4 linked regions of the Nothobranchius furzeri genome follow. The protein of the gene in region 2 interacts with the protein of the main gene of each other region in a biochemical or structural test. Links are inferred from orthologs where the notes say so. Each region holds a gene or a part of one and is shown on either strand. Other genes may lie near its edges.

Region 1 (3,667 bases), on a different chromosome or scaffold from region 2:
AGGTTCTGGGAGAACTGCAGTTTAACTTCTACCACCGCTGGTTTGATGTCATCTTCCTGGTCAGCGCCTTGTCCAGCATCCTCTTCCTTTATCTCGCCCACAAGCAGGCCCCGGAGAAGCACATGACTCTCTGAACTCCCGAGGAATCGCTCCTGGCTCACAAATGAACTCCTGATGCTTGGGCCAGTGTTTTTTTCAGAGATTCGTTTACTCTTGTTTTTACACAAAACCCTGGAAGTCGTGGACTCTTGCAGTATTTTACAGAACAACACTGCTATAAAGAATGCAGATGTTCTTGAAAAACTAAAATTGTATTTGCTATGCCCCTAGATTATATATTTTTGGGTTTTTCAGAAGAGGAATATTGCTTTTTGAGTCTCAGTACACTGGACTATCTGTTTTACATTCCTGTTTAACATCAGAGTAAGAAGGAAAGGAGTGAACACTGAATGTGATCTGCTTTTTGGTTTAAGAGACCAGAAACTCATGAAGTCAGGCTTAACTCAGATGGTATGTTTTCTTTGATTTGTTTTAATAAATTTTATTTCTGGTTTCTAAATGTGAGCAGCATTTCTGTTTCAACATTAAATAAAAACAGCAGAGAGCATAAAGAGAATAAAAAGACCACTCTTAATTGTTAAAAACATCCTGAATTATTGGTTTCCTCTGCTGTAAGAAAGACTTTGATGCTTAAATTTGATCGACAAGCAAAAGATTTCTGATCACAAGCTTTAAAAAAATGTCATTTTTTGTAATCATCTCATGAAACTTCTGCTATGGATCAGATTTTTACAGTCTTTACTGTCTTTTTTCTAGTTTTTACTCATTTTTTACAGTTTTAATCTAAGCAGGATATCAAAAGCTCATTGAGCATTTTGGTTTTAATAAAATTAACATCCGATTAGGCCTAATTGGGAGTGTTTCAAGTGTTCCTCAAAATCTCTCGTCGAGACTTTCATCAGATGAAGAGGATGACACAGATGTAGACTAAAAGAAAAGGAAAAAAGATACAAAAAATTAAATACAAAAGAGACAAAAAGCTAATTAGAACATAAAATGTACACATTCTCTTGTTTTTTTAGAATACTTTCATAAATCCGAACATGATTTGTCAAAAAAGACCAGAAAAGCATGCTTTTTCATTATAGATCTACCATAGATGGTAAACTGGCAGCATATAAGGTTTAAAATCCAAAACTAAATGGAAATGTGTATAATTTTGTGTTCATAATGTTTTGAATAGAAATGTTCAAATTAACATGAAACTTGTGTATTGTTTATAATTTGAGCAACAGCAGCTGCATGTGATTAAACAGATTGCATTAAACGTGCAACACATCAGATTCACTGAATTTCTCAACAGGTTTTGGACTTTTGTCAGTGTTAAGATGAAGAACCAGTTAATGTAGTGCTACATGGGTGTTAGAAGATACCAAATATTTCCACACAAAACACGCAATTTATACAATTTAAAGAGGAGGACTGACTTTTGGATCATTGACATCTTTATAGTGTTGATTACTAAAAGAGAAGAGAAGCACTCACCCTCTGTTTTTCTGCCTTAGGTGGGGTCACAGGCCTGGCCTCCTCCCGTGTCTTCTTGCTTGTTTCTGGACTGTTTGACACGTGGACTTGACTGCTGGGACCTTCCCCGACTAGCCGTGGTGTGATCGTCATGCCTTTGTCCTTGAGCTGTTTATAGACATTCTTGCTGGCCACCAACATCTCCAGAGTGTTGCCTCCTCTGCGTATCATTTCCACGACTTCTGCATGAGAGCTCTTTTCCACATTTACCCCGTTTACCTCCACCACTACATCATCGTCTCCCAGACCGGCCTTGTCTGCTGGTCCACCTTTCACCACCTGAGAGAAATGGTGTTTTCTGTCTTGGTTGTGAGATACTAATGATGAGAAATTGAGTACTTATGTTGATCTTACCTCCTTGATGTACTGACCACACACACCCTCGATGCCGTTTAGGTGAAAGCCAAAACCAGAAGAGGTCTTCTCCATCCTACACAGCTTTGGTCGAAGGTCTTCTATCGTCTCTTGAACAGATGTGGATGGTTGAGCAGAAACAGGCATTTTTAAAGCTTCTGTGTAACTTGGTGGTAAGTTGGAGTCTTTCTTTTCCTCCCAGAAGAGCATAGGAGATATTTTTCCCTTTGAGAAACAGCATGACAATATGTTATCTACAGTAGACATCTAATGACGAACAGTGAGTCAGTGGGAGCCTAGAAATCCAGACTAATAGCAAAAAGGTTTGCTTTGCAGGTCGGTCTAGCCACGCTCCATAGGAACGTCAGCGGGTCTATCAATGGCCTGATCAGTTTTGTGTCTTGCCAATTACAACACTTCAAATGTGTTATACAGGCTTAACGTTAGAGCTGTGATGGAGAAACACTACAAATATGGCGTCAGCTCAGAAATGGCGCTCATTTGAAATAGCTTTAGCATCTACTTTGGGATATGAGCAGATAGAGGTACTTAAGTCATTTATTTCAAAGAAGGATACATTTGCTTCTCCTTCAACGGTGTATGGTGAACTGCCATGCTGACTAACATTTGTAGTGATGATTACATCATGTTGTTCGTTGCTCTGACTGGTCCTAGCACTGTCCAGTTGCATGCATAGACAGTTTGAAAGACAACCGTAGATTTAGCCTCATGGCTGGGTGGTTTCAGTGACTCGTGACCAGACTTTTACAAATATAAGTTGGCTTTCCAGGTTAGGTCTATGGCTCACCTTCTTATACATTTGCTGTGTTTCTTTGTCCACCACAAGGAGGCAGCATTTGTCTCCACTTTGCTTGATCCAGTCCACCACTTGCTCATGACTGTAGCCGTCCACCTCTTTGCCATTCACAGCGACAACTACGTCATTCTCCATCAGACCACCTTTTTCCGCTGGACTGCCTTTATCTACTTCCTTCATGAAGTGTCCTGAAAGAAGTAAAGGAGTACATTATTAGGCCATCACTCCGGAGTGAAAAGTACAGCATGTTACCATGGCCTTGCCTGCTTGGTTGGGCTCCTCTCTGAGCAGGAAGCCATATCCATCTGATCCTTTGGTCATTTTGACGATGCGTGGATGGAGAGGAAGATACTTGACTGTTGCTCTCCACGAACCTAATTTTGCTTGTTTGCTCTGATGGAATTTGTCGGTTTCCTCATCAACCAGCAGAAACATCACGCTGTTGCCCCCCTGTTTTATCTTGTTCACTGCTTCCTCGTGGGTGCATTTTTCAACGTTCTCACCATTGATTTCAATTAGACGATCTTTGGCACGAACTCCTGCTTTGTCCGCCACACCCCCCCGAATCACCTCAGTCATGAACAGACCCTCCTCTCCTATAGTCATAAGGCATATAGATAGATAAGCAGATAACATGTGTTGCTAAGGGTGAGAGTGTTGCTGTTGCTGATGGAAAACCACATAGGAGTGGTTTATGTTATCATAGGTGTGTTCTGTTACTCATCTAACAACTTCAGAGTGAAGTACAAGTATAAGTCATAGTAGCATGTAGGACAACTCAGATATAGGGTCAAAGTAGTTCAAATGTTATTGGTGTACTTCTCAAATGAAAAAGACAAACCCAATCATAGCTTGTGTTTCAATAGATCATTTTTTTCTGACTTAATTACTTTATGAAAATAAATAATAAAT
Region 2 (4,115 bases):
TAGGATCACCACACCAAATCTGCCTTAATATCACTTTATTTATACTTTTAGAATTTATTTTACACACCAAAGTAATTTGGGCCATTTTAATCATACTAATTTACAATTTTAACTAATAAAATAGTAATGGGGTAAAAGGGTTGATAGTTTCCAAAGCAAGCCGGGGCCTTCTGTAAATGATAGAACATTTTTTTAGGCTGCTTGTCTAGCATGTATACATCAGAGTACATTATTTGTCTACTTTATTAGAATTGTGTAAAACAGTCTAAACCTGAAAACTGCACCGGTGCAGGACTGACTCAGCTGTTGTTTTCATTCAGGAGTGTGCACGTACAGCATGCACGCCTCTTGCACTAGCTTATTATTGAAGCTGCAGTTACGCATTGGGCCTGAGGGGGCAATCGTGTGCATCAAAATTTCAAATTCCTTATAGTCCCTTTAAATAAAAAGGAAGCTGAGGAATGTCTCAGTGACAACAACTATATAACAACCCCACTTCATACTAGACACGGTTAAATCAGATTTAATGATGTGGTGAGAGAAAGTCTCTGGCAAACAAAAGTAAAAGCTTTAAGGTGAATGTGCTGTAACGAGCTATTTCTGAGGTGAATAATGACAGAAGCAGCTGTAATAAAGTGCTGTAGGAGGGATGGTTCTCAGTGAAAGGGAAGGAAGCTTTGATTCAATCTGTAGTCCCAAGAAGATGGAACACATCAGTCCTGTGTATGGAGCAAACATAAGGACCTGTGAGTGTGTTTGTGTGTGGTTTCTCATCATTGACCCACAGCTGAGAATTACAGGCAAAGCTTTCATGTGTTCATGTCTCCCCAAGCTCTCTAACTGACCACATGTCCGCGCACTAAGACAAGTAAACAGGCAATTACCGTAACTGATTCAAACACAAAATGAATTCAAGCAAAATGTCAGAAAAACTTTGTTTTTTGTGCAACATTGTGGTGATGAGGGTCTCAGAATGTAAGAAGAGAAGTCACATTCATGTGGAACAGGACACATACCTTCCAATAAGTTCTACTTTTGTCTCTTCAGTCCCCAGAACACTTTTCTAGAAGAATTTGATCCCAAAATGTTTTTTGGAGATGGCTGTGTTGTTTCTGGGTGAACAGAGGTTTTGGACTTGGAAGTGGGCCAGTTCTCATTAGCTGAGTTAGGTCCTTTAGTTCTTGAGTGTGTTGATGTGTTGCTTTTTGAGATCTTTTTGCCTATTTCATGCTGTCAGGAAGGTTCTGTTAGAGTGATTGTTAGTTCTACTGGTCTGATATTAGTCAAGTGGAGGGACTGACCTCAGCTGAACTAATATTATAGTAAATCAGTAGCCTGGGCTGTCATCCTATAGTCTGGCCACGACCCATAGACAGAGCTCAGTCATGGGGCAGGATCTACGGTTGTCTTTCAAACGTTGTCTGCACCCAATTGGACAGCATAAGGACCAATCAGACCAACGGACATCATGATGCGTCCAAGACAACATAAATTTGTCAAAGGGCAGTCCATCACACAGAGTCGTTGAAGAAGAAATAGATACATCCATTTTCTAAATAAAAGACTTAACTACCTCTATCTGCTCACGTCTCAAAGAAAGGCCCAAGTCTAAATCGTTTAAAAATGATGCCAAAGCCGTTTCAAACAGGCATCTTTGTAGTTTTATCCATCGCAGCTCTGGTGCCCAACATCGATCTACAACCAGAGCGCTGACTGACCAGATCTAAAATTGTTCAGGCCAATGGTAGACCTGCAGACCCATACGGAGCGTGGCCAACAATCAAGTGTAACTATTGCTTTTATACGAAACTACTATTTAGTTGTTGATTAAATACTTCAGGATTGGAATGCGTGCTGATTGGAGCAGACGTTTACAACCCTGAAAATCTTTTTACTAACACTGTGTAAGAAAAGAACAAGAAATGGTTAACAACTCTGACAAGTTTGTTTCAAAAGGTGAATTTTTTTTTACTTTTTCTTTTTTTTTGTCAAAATATGAATAAAACTATAAAATAAGAATGGTGTCATGGTTCGTGCCTGGAAATCACAAAAGGACATTTTAGTGCGTTTTCTGAAACTGTCATTAACCAGTAATATCTTACCAGAAGTTGATGATGTAATAAAAACACCCAGTTTGGAGAAGCAGAGATGAGTTCTGACCAGAGATGCTCCTGCCACCTTCAGATCTCAAGCAAGTGTTGCTTAAGAATACATCAGCACAAACGCAGCTTCACGTGCTTTTTTTGCTTTCTGTAATTTGCAGCAGGAATTGGTTAAGACAACTTCAGTTTTATTCTGGCTGAAATCTCATCACATTTCTACTGGAATCACCATGAAACGTGACAATTTTGCACATGGGAAGGTATAATTGCATTTGTAACTGCTGTGGAAGTCTTGAGGTAGCTATTAGCTGTTGCAGTTTGGGTCAAAACTGATCTCTTTCTCTCCAAACAAGAACAAAGATGTTAATTGTTTCTTATCGGAGGCTTTCTGTTTGAACAATCCAGATTAATCACCACAAATCAAATCCCTGTTTTATGATGACCATAAGACCCTAAAACAACCTGCGCACTGGAGCGCGCCAGTCCAACCGCATTTACGCACCGGCAGCAGAACTTGTTTTGGAAAGCTTCAGCACGTGTCCAGGTGTTAGTCAGAAACGGTCTAACAGCCTTACCAAAAGACAAACTTGGAGAGGAAGTTTGCATCTTCCACCGGTGACTTTTGCATCCTAAAAGCGCCGCCAGTTTTGATCCGTGTGCAGCCGAGGGTCCCTGCGCCGCTCTCATCGGTGTGTCCTCCTGGCGCTCCGGGGAGGGTTCGGCCTTTATCCTCCTCTCCACCCCAGAGGATGGTGTTGGTGTGTGTGTGGGTGGGTGGGGGGTGGCGGCTCCAGGTCCGCTCCTGTTGCGCTGCCTCTTCACTCCGTGTGAGAGGGTTGTCCGCGCTTCTTTATTGGCCAAGTCGCCAAAGCTGCTCCTCTCCTGTGAGTCTAGCAGAAACGATTCTGGGACATCCAACCTGAAACTTTTTATCAGCTTCTCGTTACGCACAGTTTCAGGAGAGGGAAGATCAAAACACCTCTAGACATTCCTGCAGGGAACACTGATAAAATGCAGCAAATTGGCTTTTTTAGTGGACATCACACAGTCATTCATCAGGTGAACTCTACCGGAGTTCTGGGAGGACATAAACACATGGATACACACACTCAGTGCTATCACAAACACACAGAAAGCTGACGTGTGTAAGTCAGAAACAAGGACTTTTAACAAAAGCAACTAAAGCTGTGACTTTCAGAAAGGTGAAAACGTGTCTTAAGCAGCGTAATAAAAACCTGCATGTTAAAGTAAGTCATGAACTTAAGTTTGCTTTAAAGAAGGAGATCACACATAGCATCAGGTGTTTTAACATCCTCAAACACGAACGAGGCTGAGGAAAGAGAAAAGGGCGCCCTCTCCTGGACACAGACTGTACCAGCCACCTGCTCATCTTCTGATCCCTTTTGATTACTGAAATGAAGACCTCTGCAGGTGAACCCAAACTATTTAAATATTATGTACTTTACACGTAAATACATAGAAAATTACCAGAACATTCACTGGAAATAAGATTACAAAATCCATGGAGCGGTGACACCAGGATTCTCAAAAGCAGAACAAACACACCGGGTTTTCAATTTGAACTGGATGCACGTGTCAACATTAAATTTGGGCAATTCAAGAAAAGAAAGCAGATATTAGGAGTTTTTTTTATTGTTTCACTTGAAGCTAAATTAAATTTGGGCGTGGTCTCTCACTTTGCTCCCATGCGTTAAGCCCATAGGTTAAGCCCCGCTCTGTCCATCTTACTTCCGGGTGTTCTGAGAAAACGTCCGACTTTGGCAAAATGTCCTATCCGTAGGATAATTTTACGGTGTTTTACATGACACAAACCCTAACCATAACCCTAATTCTTACCCAAAAAAATCAAGTATCAACATCAATAAAAAGTACTAATACTTACTAATCTATTTTCTTGCAAATATGACAGCGGAGTAGCGTTCCCTTTTTGTGTTGTGCGCATGCGCGCACATGCTCATCAACTACAGTAGGATGGTTTACGGGGTAGGAGAA
Region 3 (3,566 bases), on a different chromosome or scaffold from region 2:
AACAGGGCTTTGGACCAGAGTGGGTGGCATCTAAAAAGTAAGGCAGTGACACAAGTAATAAACCAACAGTAAAATAAAGCTCTTTGAGAAAATGTCACTTGAGCACTGTGAGTCGTGACAGTTTGAGCATAAAAGTTTGAATTCTGTTTGTCAATTTGTTTTTATCGACGTCTAAGCCCTCTGTCCATGTTTTTATAGCATTTTGTTTGTTTAGCATTAGCACCCAGCAGTGCTTGGGCACTGATGTCAACTGAGAAGTCAGTTATTTTTAACACATTTACAAAAAAAAAGAATGCAACATGAGAATGTAACATAAAACGTGGGAAAAGTGAGGTGGTGTGACTGTATCTTCTCCTTTTCTTTAAACTCAGGTGGCAAGAAAGATTAAACTCAGTGGCCAACAGTTATGTCTGTTAGTGCTGGGTGGAGAGGAGTACGAGCAGGCTGTTTCACAAGGTCGCGACCTTCAAAGTCTGGTCAAAGTCCACAAGGAGGAAGGCTGCAAACCGCCCAGGCTCTGCCACATCACCAAGGATCAAATCTCAAGTCTGGGTATCAGCTTCTCACCCTTGGAAGGTAACACTTGTGATAGCAACAAGTCCAACATACAAGATTAGATGTGTTTCATGCTGAAGACAGTTCGATGTCGCTCAGCTGCTCCTCCTGTCTGCTCTGTAGGAGAGAAAGGTCGCTTCTCCGTGAACCTGGTGAAAGGAGGTGCAGCTGAAAGGGCGGGGGTGTGTAAGGGCGATCGCCTCGTGTGGATGAATGGAGCAATGGTGTCCCATCTCACACACTCTGCCCTCACACGAATGGTTCGTATCCTCCAAACACAAATGGTGCAAATCGAATGAATTTAGAATGAGCCAAGACTGAGATAATTGTGTCCAACCCTGCTGATAACTGATGTTTGGTTGTAGATGAAAAAATGTGGCACTAGCATCACCATCCTAGTGGTAGACAGTGAAAGTGAGAAGATCTACATGCAAAAGAAGATGCCCATCCTTCCAGCCATGGCTGTCCCACACAAACTGCCCTTCAGAGCCAGGAAGCTCCACCTCATCTCTGGACCCGAGGGCTATGGCTTTCTCCTCCGGCTGGAGAAGACACCATCAGGAAACACATGTGAGAGAAACATAAATATCTACGATTTAAACTCTTCCACTTTAAGTATTTGATTTTGACTGGTTTTAAATCATTAGATCATGTTCTACGTGAGGTGGAACAAAGCAGTCCAGCAGAGAAGGGAGGTATGAAGGATGGAGAGATCCTGTTGGAGGTCAACGGCGAGTCGGTGGAGTCTCTGAAGCATGAAGAGATTGTGGACAGAGTAAGACTGAGTGGAAAGAAGGTCTCCCTCACCTCGATCACCCCCTCAGGGCTAGATTTCTACACCAAGGTTGGTTTCGCCAGAACCAGATACGAACATTAAAATGCATGTACTGCTCTCAAGAGTCTTGCATTCTTCTAATTGATAAACAAGTCCAAGCTGTGGTTGTCCAGACTTCCTGAAAGTTTTTCTCTTTTGGGGGGTGGGGGGGTATTAAGTAAAAAGTCAAGATTGTTTCCAGTAAATGTTGGACTCTATCAGGGTTGACCTTAATCAACCACTTTTAGTAATTTATGGATAGATTGTCCAGGCACAGCCAAGGAGTAATCGAGTAACCAGTGGCTTATCGGTACAAACCCAGGCTCTGTCCCTGACTTAGAAAAGTGCTACTTTACATATATATATATATAGCTGATTCAACCACTGAATTAAGTGAGTTGGAGCAGAGAAACACCTAAAACATGCTGGTTACTGGCCCTCAAGGACCAGGGTTGAGAAATCCTGGTGTTCAGCTCCTCTGCAGTGGAAGGAGACTACTGAGGTGGTTGGGGCATCTGGTGAGGATGCCTTCAGAAGTCTTTCCATGGAAGATGCTTCAGACATGTCCCACTGAGGGGACCTTACCACAGACTCTTGCTGGAGAGATTAGGTCTCACGGCTAAGCCTCGGATTCCCTCTGAATGAGGCAGAGGAGGTGGCTCGGGGAGGAAGGTCTAGCTGAAGACTTCTGCTTTAACTCTTGCCACCCTGGCTCTTGTCCAAAATGTCAGCTGGGTGGGGTGCTCAAGGCTTTAGTATAGTGGATATAGAGAACGTTGCCCCTGGTGTAAACATGGTGTGTTTTTCTGTTTATTTACTCCCTGTAGCTGGGTCTGTCTCCTCTTCTCTTCTGTGAAGACGATGCCGCTGACAAAGAGACGGAAAACAATAAACCGACTTCTGCCAAAGTTCAGGAAAGTAAAGAGTCGTGTGTTCCTAGAGTCTCTGCTGTTTCAGCAACCACTGATGCCACAAATGGAGAGGTAGAAACCAATGCTTACGAATAAATCACAAATACCGTTAGTTTATGATTTAGCAGTGAACAGTTCTAATCAGATGTTCTTGTTTGTACCTCGGCAGGAAGAAGATGGTTATGAGATTTCAGTTTTGTGAGTAGCTGTGATGGGGAATCACGAGGAGTTCTGCCAGCACCACCGGCCTTCTGAGATTCAAACAAAACTGAACCAGAGAATCCGTTCTTAATTCCTTCCCATAAGAACAGCAAAGGAATGGGTCTCAAGAGCAACACTAACGGCAAAACAATGAAATAAGCTACACTTGAGTTCTTACACAGTTGACATTGTACTAGTGGTGGTATTTAAACTGCCTACTTGGGTAAAATGCATGAATTTATTTTCAACAGACACTCCACAACAAACTTCACTTTCCCTAAAAAAGGCTGAATTACAGGAAGTCTGCGTGTGTTTCTTTAAATACTTATAACTGTTTTAATCACTAACTTACTGAATGGCTTCTGTTCAGAGAAATGGAGTTTAACATAAGAAAACACTTCAATCTCCAAAGCATAGCCATTTCTGCAAGTCATTTTATAAACTTTTACGCCACAATCACTTTTACACAATTGTTTACATAGAATTATGTGGTTATATTCACGTGTAAAGGTCAGAACCAGACTCAGCTGATATCAAGTCTGATATTTAAATTGCTGTTATATCCAATAACAGATATTACATTAATATAAGTAGGGATGTAAGAAAATAATGATACACTGGAATATTGCCACATTTTATGTTTACATATAAAGTGGATATATAAGGGCAGTGTAAGGATTGTTTTTATGCAAACATCTACTTTATTTTGTTTGTGAGGTGCAATGCAAAGTCTGACTGCTAGGTGGCAGCAGTTTTCACCACCTTCCTTCTGACAGAACAACAAGATCTGGTGATAACTGGATGTGTTTTAGAAGCATCTGACCCAAGTCAAATACACACGCACGCACGCACGCACGCACGCACGCACACACACACAATTTTGTTTTACTGATTAAACAATTACTGCACACTTTTTGCAAATCTCATAAACTTAGTTTCACCTCTAAAATGTCCCTATGTGTGTCTCCTATATGATATATAGTCTGAAACTTTTTATCTTAACCAGCGATTTATACAGGAAAAGATCAAAGAGGCTGCCCAAACTTTTGCACCCCACTGTAATGTTTTTTTTGTTTAAAATTCAT
Region 4 (4,282 bases), on a different chromosome or scaffold from region 2:
CTGAACTGGCTCTAAAAATTACAGACCCGAGTAACATCTGTATACAGAACCTATCCTAATCTGTGTGTGCCACAGCTGAATTACCCTAATCTAAGTTCTTTCCCTTCCTTTCAATACCAGATTTAGCAAAAAACATTTAAGAGTTTTTAGTAACAATGTGTTAAACATACTGAGCAGTTTTGTTGTCATTAGCCAGTCCGTTTGTTTATTCGACTTTCTGACACAAAGAACATATTTGCACCAAATCAGCAACACAAGATGGAGAACACGAGCTTGTGATTGGTTAGGACAACACTTTCGTCAACAGCACCGCTGTTGCCCTCTCAAAAAAATAAAGAGAGCCGAAGATATCTAGCGGAAGACATGGAGCAGCTTGAAGAATACCTCGTAGAAAAACTCAAAATATGAACGTTTTATTCACCCGTGACTGGAGGAGTAAAAGGATGCAAGCAATTTATTCGTGGACAGGAAGGAGGGGAAACGTGGGTTTAGAGGTGGTGAGTGCATGAAGAGGTGGAGGAGAATGACAGACATATTTGTCCGTGTTAAAAGGTTTCTGAAATATAAAAACACAATAGTAAATGCACGATCTTGGACCAGATGCATGACAGGATATCACAGAACAGCGCTACGCCTTCTGTTGTCCAGACGGGGAATTGATTTGCAACAGCCCCCATGAGACGGAGATGTCTCTTGTGTGGTTCCCTCCCTCGTGGAGCTGATGCAGAAGCATAAACTAGCCTTAAGACCCAATGCTCAGACTCTACATGTGGTAGCGACATGTCACACATAAAAACAAGCTAATAGTTTTTACACATGTCAGACTTTTGAATCCAAAAATCCACAGGACCCAGAGACTCTTGATTTTTTGTTGATGACTTTTGTTTCTCAAACTTTATCTGCAAAAAACGAATACAGACTATGTTGTTGACGTCTGTTGTCCTTTGGGCTTGCTGTAGAAAAACAAAGGGGGTTATGGGAGATGGAGAAGGAAGACGAATGAAAGGACGTAAACAATGTTTTTCTCGTATTTGACATAAACAGAGACAACGTACTTTCTTGACAATCTTCGCTGTTGTGTGTGGAGAAAAGTGAAAAAATAAAAACAAACAACATGTGTTGATGCATAATAAGCTCGGCAGCCATGCTGGCGCATGTTCTGGGTGAGCAGAGCTGCTTCAAGACTGCGAGACCCTCACGAGGGAGGAGCAAAATATCAAACATGTTTGATATTCATGCGACTGCGTGATTGCTGCTCAGGAGGTGTTAATCACCTCACATTACTCCCATACACTAGACAATACACGAACTTGCCCTGACCTAAAAGATTCTTGCATGAGAGAAAAATTGGCTCAAAACGGTCCAAAAATCACAGTGTACGCCCGGTTTTACTGTAATATTGTGGATTCCTTTTAGACTATGAATTAGAAATTTAAAAGAAAACAAATGGTCACGTGTGCATAAGCGCTTATTTATATGGCTCAAGTAAATTTTGCAGCCCTACACATATTATATTTAGCATGATGTTGAAAATGGCTCTTTCGGTCATAAAGGGTTTGAGCCTTTGAGCTAGATGGACGGTGGAAACCACTTAGGGGTTACTGAGCAGTAGCATTAGATTTTATCACCGGTGAAATATTAAATGTGCAGCACTCAGGCATCTTCACGGATCAGCAACTCCAGTGGACTGAGACGCTGTTTTCTCATCAACAACAAATAACATGAGTGGAGGAGAGTGATGAGTCACTGGAAACTAACTGTAAACAGAGCGAGTGGCTGTTCTGACAGAACAGGAGGGACAAAAGTCATGCTTCTGAAACAAAAATGTGTTCAAATGTAGGTTTAATTTAATGGTTTCAATCGGCACTTCCGGTCAAGGCGAGTGCTGATAAACCAAGCTAACGGTGCCCAAAACGCGAATCACCCTCTGACAACACGGGGAGTAAACGTGGGTGTTTGTCCAACTTTCTGTTTCAACACACCTGAATGCGTAAATATTTCCTCAGCGTGATGGTCGAGCCTGATGGCGGATTTTGTTTACCAATATATATTTTTTGTGGAAGCAGGGGAACGGAAATGAACACACGTCTTTTTAGCCACAGGCGCAAACACCAGCCACAGGAGGTTCACTCGGGTCTTGACAGAGACTTTTGGCTCGCAGGCCAACATATTGCTGACAACGCTAACTGGTAATAAGAAATAAATAATCATCAGTTTAACAAGTTGCACCGTTTAGTGCAACCCAACAGTTCCAACTCGTTATGGCAAAGAAGACAAACTGAGTGTGGCTGCATACATTCCAGGTCTGGCGACAACTTTAGCTTTGAGACTAGGCTACATTAGCAGCTAAGCTAAAAGCGCTATCATCTTGGGTGGGCAGGATGTACTCTGCATGTCGGACCTACCTTTAACCTTTCCAAACGTCCCGACTCCAAGCGTGTCCCCGAGAATGTAATGTCCTATTTTGACTCTTCCTTCATGTTTTTGTTTTTCCGTCGCCATCTTCCCGCAGTGGCCTTTCTGCGGGGTTAGCTAGCTGCAGGCGGACACAGACCGAACTCAGCTGTGTGCGGCTCTCTAGCGGCTCGGCTCCGTACGGCGAAAGTGGGACGACGCGCCCCGGCGTCTGCGTGATTCGTCAAAACCACACGAGACGTTGCGTTCACGTAACACAGAAAGCTCGCAAATATTAGCATCTAAGAAAAACAATGCGAGGAGCTCGTTTTCATGATCCTCTGACAATAGTAACGGAGGAAATAGTAACGTCATTTTAAAAGTATGCTTTGAAATGTAATGAAGTAATCATAAAAACAAATATGATTTATTCAAGTATTTATTTTGTAATCTTGTATAACCGGAAGATGTAATCCATCACTTTATGCAATTGCTAAAAAGACCCTTAATATCAATAGAAATTTCTGTATACTAAATAAAGTACATGATAAAAATGTGTTAAAAATTCAAGCAAATTACATCTGTTATTTGCACGATGGGCATGTGTTCTGAGCAAAATATTTCAATAAACAGGAAGTGTTTACTATTGGTTTAGGGAAAACTGGACCGCAATTCGCATTTATCTAATAAAAGTTTATGAGTCATGTCACAAAATAGTCACTTTCCCAGGTGTCCTGCAAAAATTGGCTGAACAAAAAGTTATTAATTACTATCTGGTTAAATCTATTTTAATTGATTGTGGCGCCCATTTGATAAACCTAGAGAAAATATATCAGTAAACAGCTTTAACAGGATTCACAACAAAGGCATGCATGTGAGTAAACCAGACTTTATTATAAAGCAATAGAAATCTGTGTTGACACAGAAAGCACCCAGGCTGGATGACGTTCAGCTTTGTGTAAACAATGAACGCAAGTGCTGAACTTAAATGCTGAACACTTTATTTAAACTCCATTATTACACAGCAAAGAACAGAAAAACATTTCAAAATGAACCAGAGCTACTAATCCAGTACATCATATTTCAACAGTCAGAGCAGGAAACAAACCAACATTCATCAGTTTAAATTTGACACAATCCACACACCTGCTAATGAAAATCTACAATCATTATTTCAAATATTAATTCTTTTTTGACACAGTCCTGCTCAGATGTGTCCAGGTTGCATCTTGCTGTGCATTATAAAAATCTCCAAAGGTTAGAAATAAAAAGCAAATTGTTTACTCAGCAAAATGTGTTTTGAAGATACACGGATTCACACGCAAAATGTTTCACACTGAAATATTTAAGAGGTTAAAAACTGAAAATGAGTGACCACATTTTTGAAAGACTGTGAGGCTCAATGCATCTTTAAAAAGGACTAACATCACCATGAAAGATGTTTTATATGCTCATCTATTTTATACTCACAATTGAATACGGATATATATATGTAACCCCAACCCTAACCCTATATATATATATATATATATATATATATATATATATATATATATATATGTATATATATATCATGTAATATATTTTTCTTGATATATTTCAATGATTTTATTTAAGTTTAATTTTTTAAAAATGAGTGAGTGAGTAAAGTTCATTTATATAGCATCTATAACAGAAAATAAATCACAATGTGCTTTACAAAGCAAATCACACTCTAAAAATTAAAACCTAATTTAAAGACCAAAAAAACCCTAACTAACCCTTTTTAAAGGAAGACATGGTCAGGATGGCAAAACACCAAAAGTTACGAGTAACTACGCTGTAACTTACATCAATTTGGTAAGCAAAATATGAAAACATAATATTGAAAAACACGATGGATTCTGGA

Evidence for each region.
Region 1: the proteins of cftr (region 2) and pdzk1 form a complex in vitro, tested with the Homo sapiens proteins (2 studies listed by BioGRID and IntAct, with this or other methods). The link is inferred for Nothobranchius furzeri from reciprocal best matches to the Homo sapiens genes CFTR and PDZK1.
Region 3: the proteins of cftr (region 2) and Na(+)/H(+) exchange regulatory cofactor NHE-RF4 form a complex in vitro, tested with the Homo sapiens proteins (2 studies listed by BioGRID and IntAct, with this or other methods). The link is inferred for Nothobranchius furzeri from reciprocal best matches to the Homo sapiens genes CFTR and NHERF4.
Region 4: the proteins of cftr (region 2) and prkaa1 form a complex in vitro, tested with the Homo sapiens proteins (2 studies listed by BioGRID, with this or other methods). The link is inferred for Nothobranchius furzeri from reciprocal best matches to the Homo sapiens genes CFTR and PRKAA1.

The regions. Positions count from the first base shown.
Region 1 is NC_091754.1:24,601,093-24,604,759, forward strand, and holds the end of pdzk1 (Na(+)/H(+) exchange regulatory cofactor NHE-RF3), read right to left. Parts: intron 3,352-3,667; coding exon 3,019-3,351; intron 2,944-3,018; coding exon 2,747-2,943; intron 2,164-2,746; coding exon 1,939-2,163; intron 1,864-1,938; coding exon 1,546-1,863; intron 988-1,545; coding exon 934-987; 3' UTR 512-933; downstream 1-511. Other genes in the region: si:ch73-390b10.2 (Golgi pH regulator), read left to right, coding at 1-134. UniProt on the Homo sapiens protein: A scaffold protein that connects plasma membrane proteins and regulatory components, regulating their surface expression in epithelial cells apical domains.
Region 2 is NC_091744.1:52,968,831-52,972,945, reverse strand, and holds the start of cftr (cystic fibrosis transmembrane conductance regulator), read right to left. Parts: upstream 2,866-4,115; 5' UTR 2,731-2,865; coding exon 2,678-2,730; intron 1-2,677. UniProt on the Homo sapiens protein: Epithelial ion channel that plays an important role in the regulation of epithelial ion and water transport and fluid homeostasis. Mediates the transport of chloride ions across the cell membrane.
Region 3 is NC_091750.1:44,652,091-44,655,656, forward strand, and holds part of Na(+)/H(+) exchange regulatory cofactor NHE-RF4, read left to right. Parts: intron 1-371; coding exon 372-576; intron 577-678; coding exon 679-815; intron 816-920; coding exon 921-1,125; intron 1,126-1,202; coding exon 1,203-1,399; intron 1,400-2,196; coding exon 2,197-2,352; intron 2,353-2,449; coding exon 2,450-2,482; 3' UTR 2,483-3,566.
Region 4 is NC_091746.1:66,884,354-66,888,635, forward strand, and holds the start of prkaa1 (5'-AMP-activated protein kinase catalytic subunit alpha-1), read right to left. Parts: upstream 2,854-4,282; 5' UTR 2,503-2,853; coding exon 2,406-2,502; intron 1-2,405. UniProt on the Homo sapiens protein: Catalytic subunit of AMP-activated protein kinase (AMPK), an energy sensor protein kinase that plays a key role in regulating cellular energy metabolism.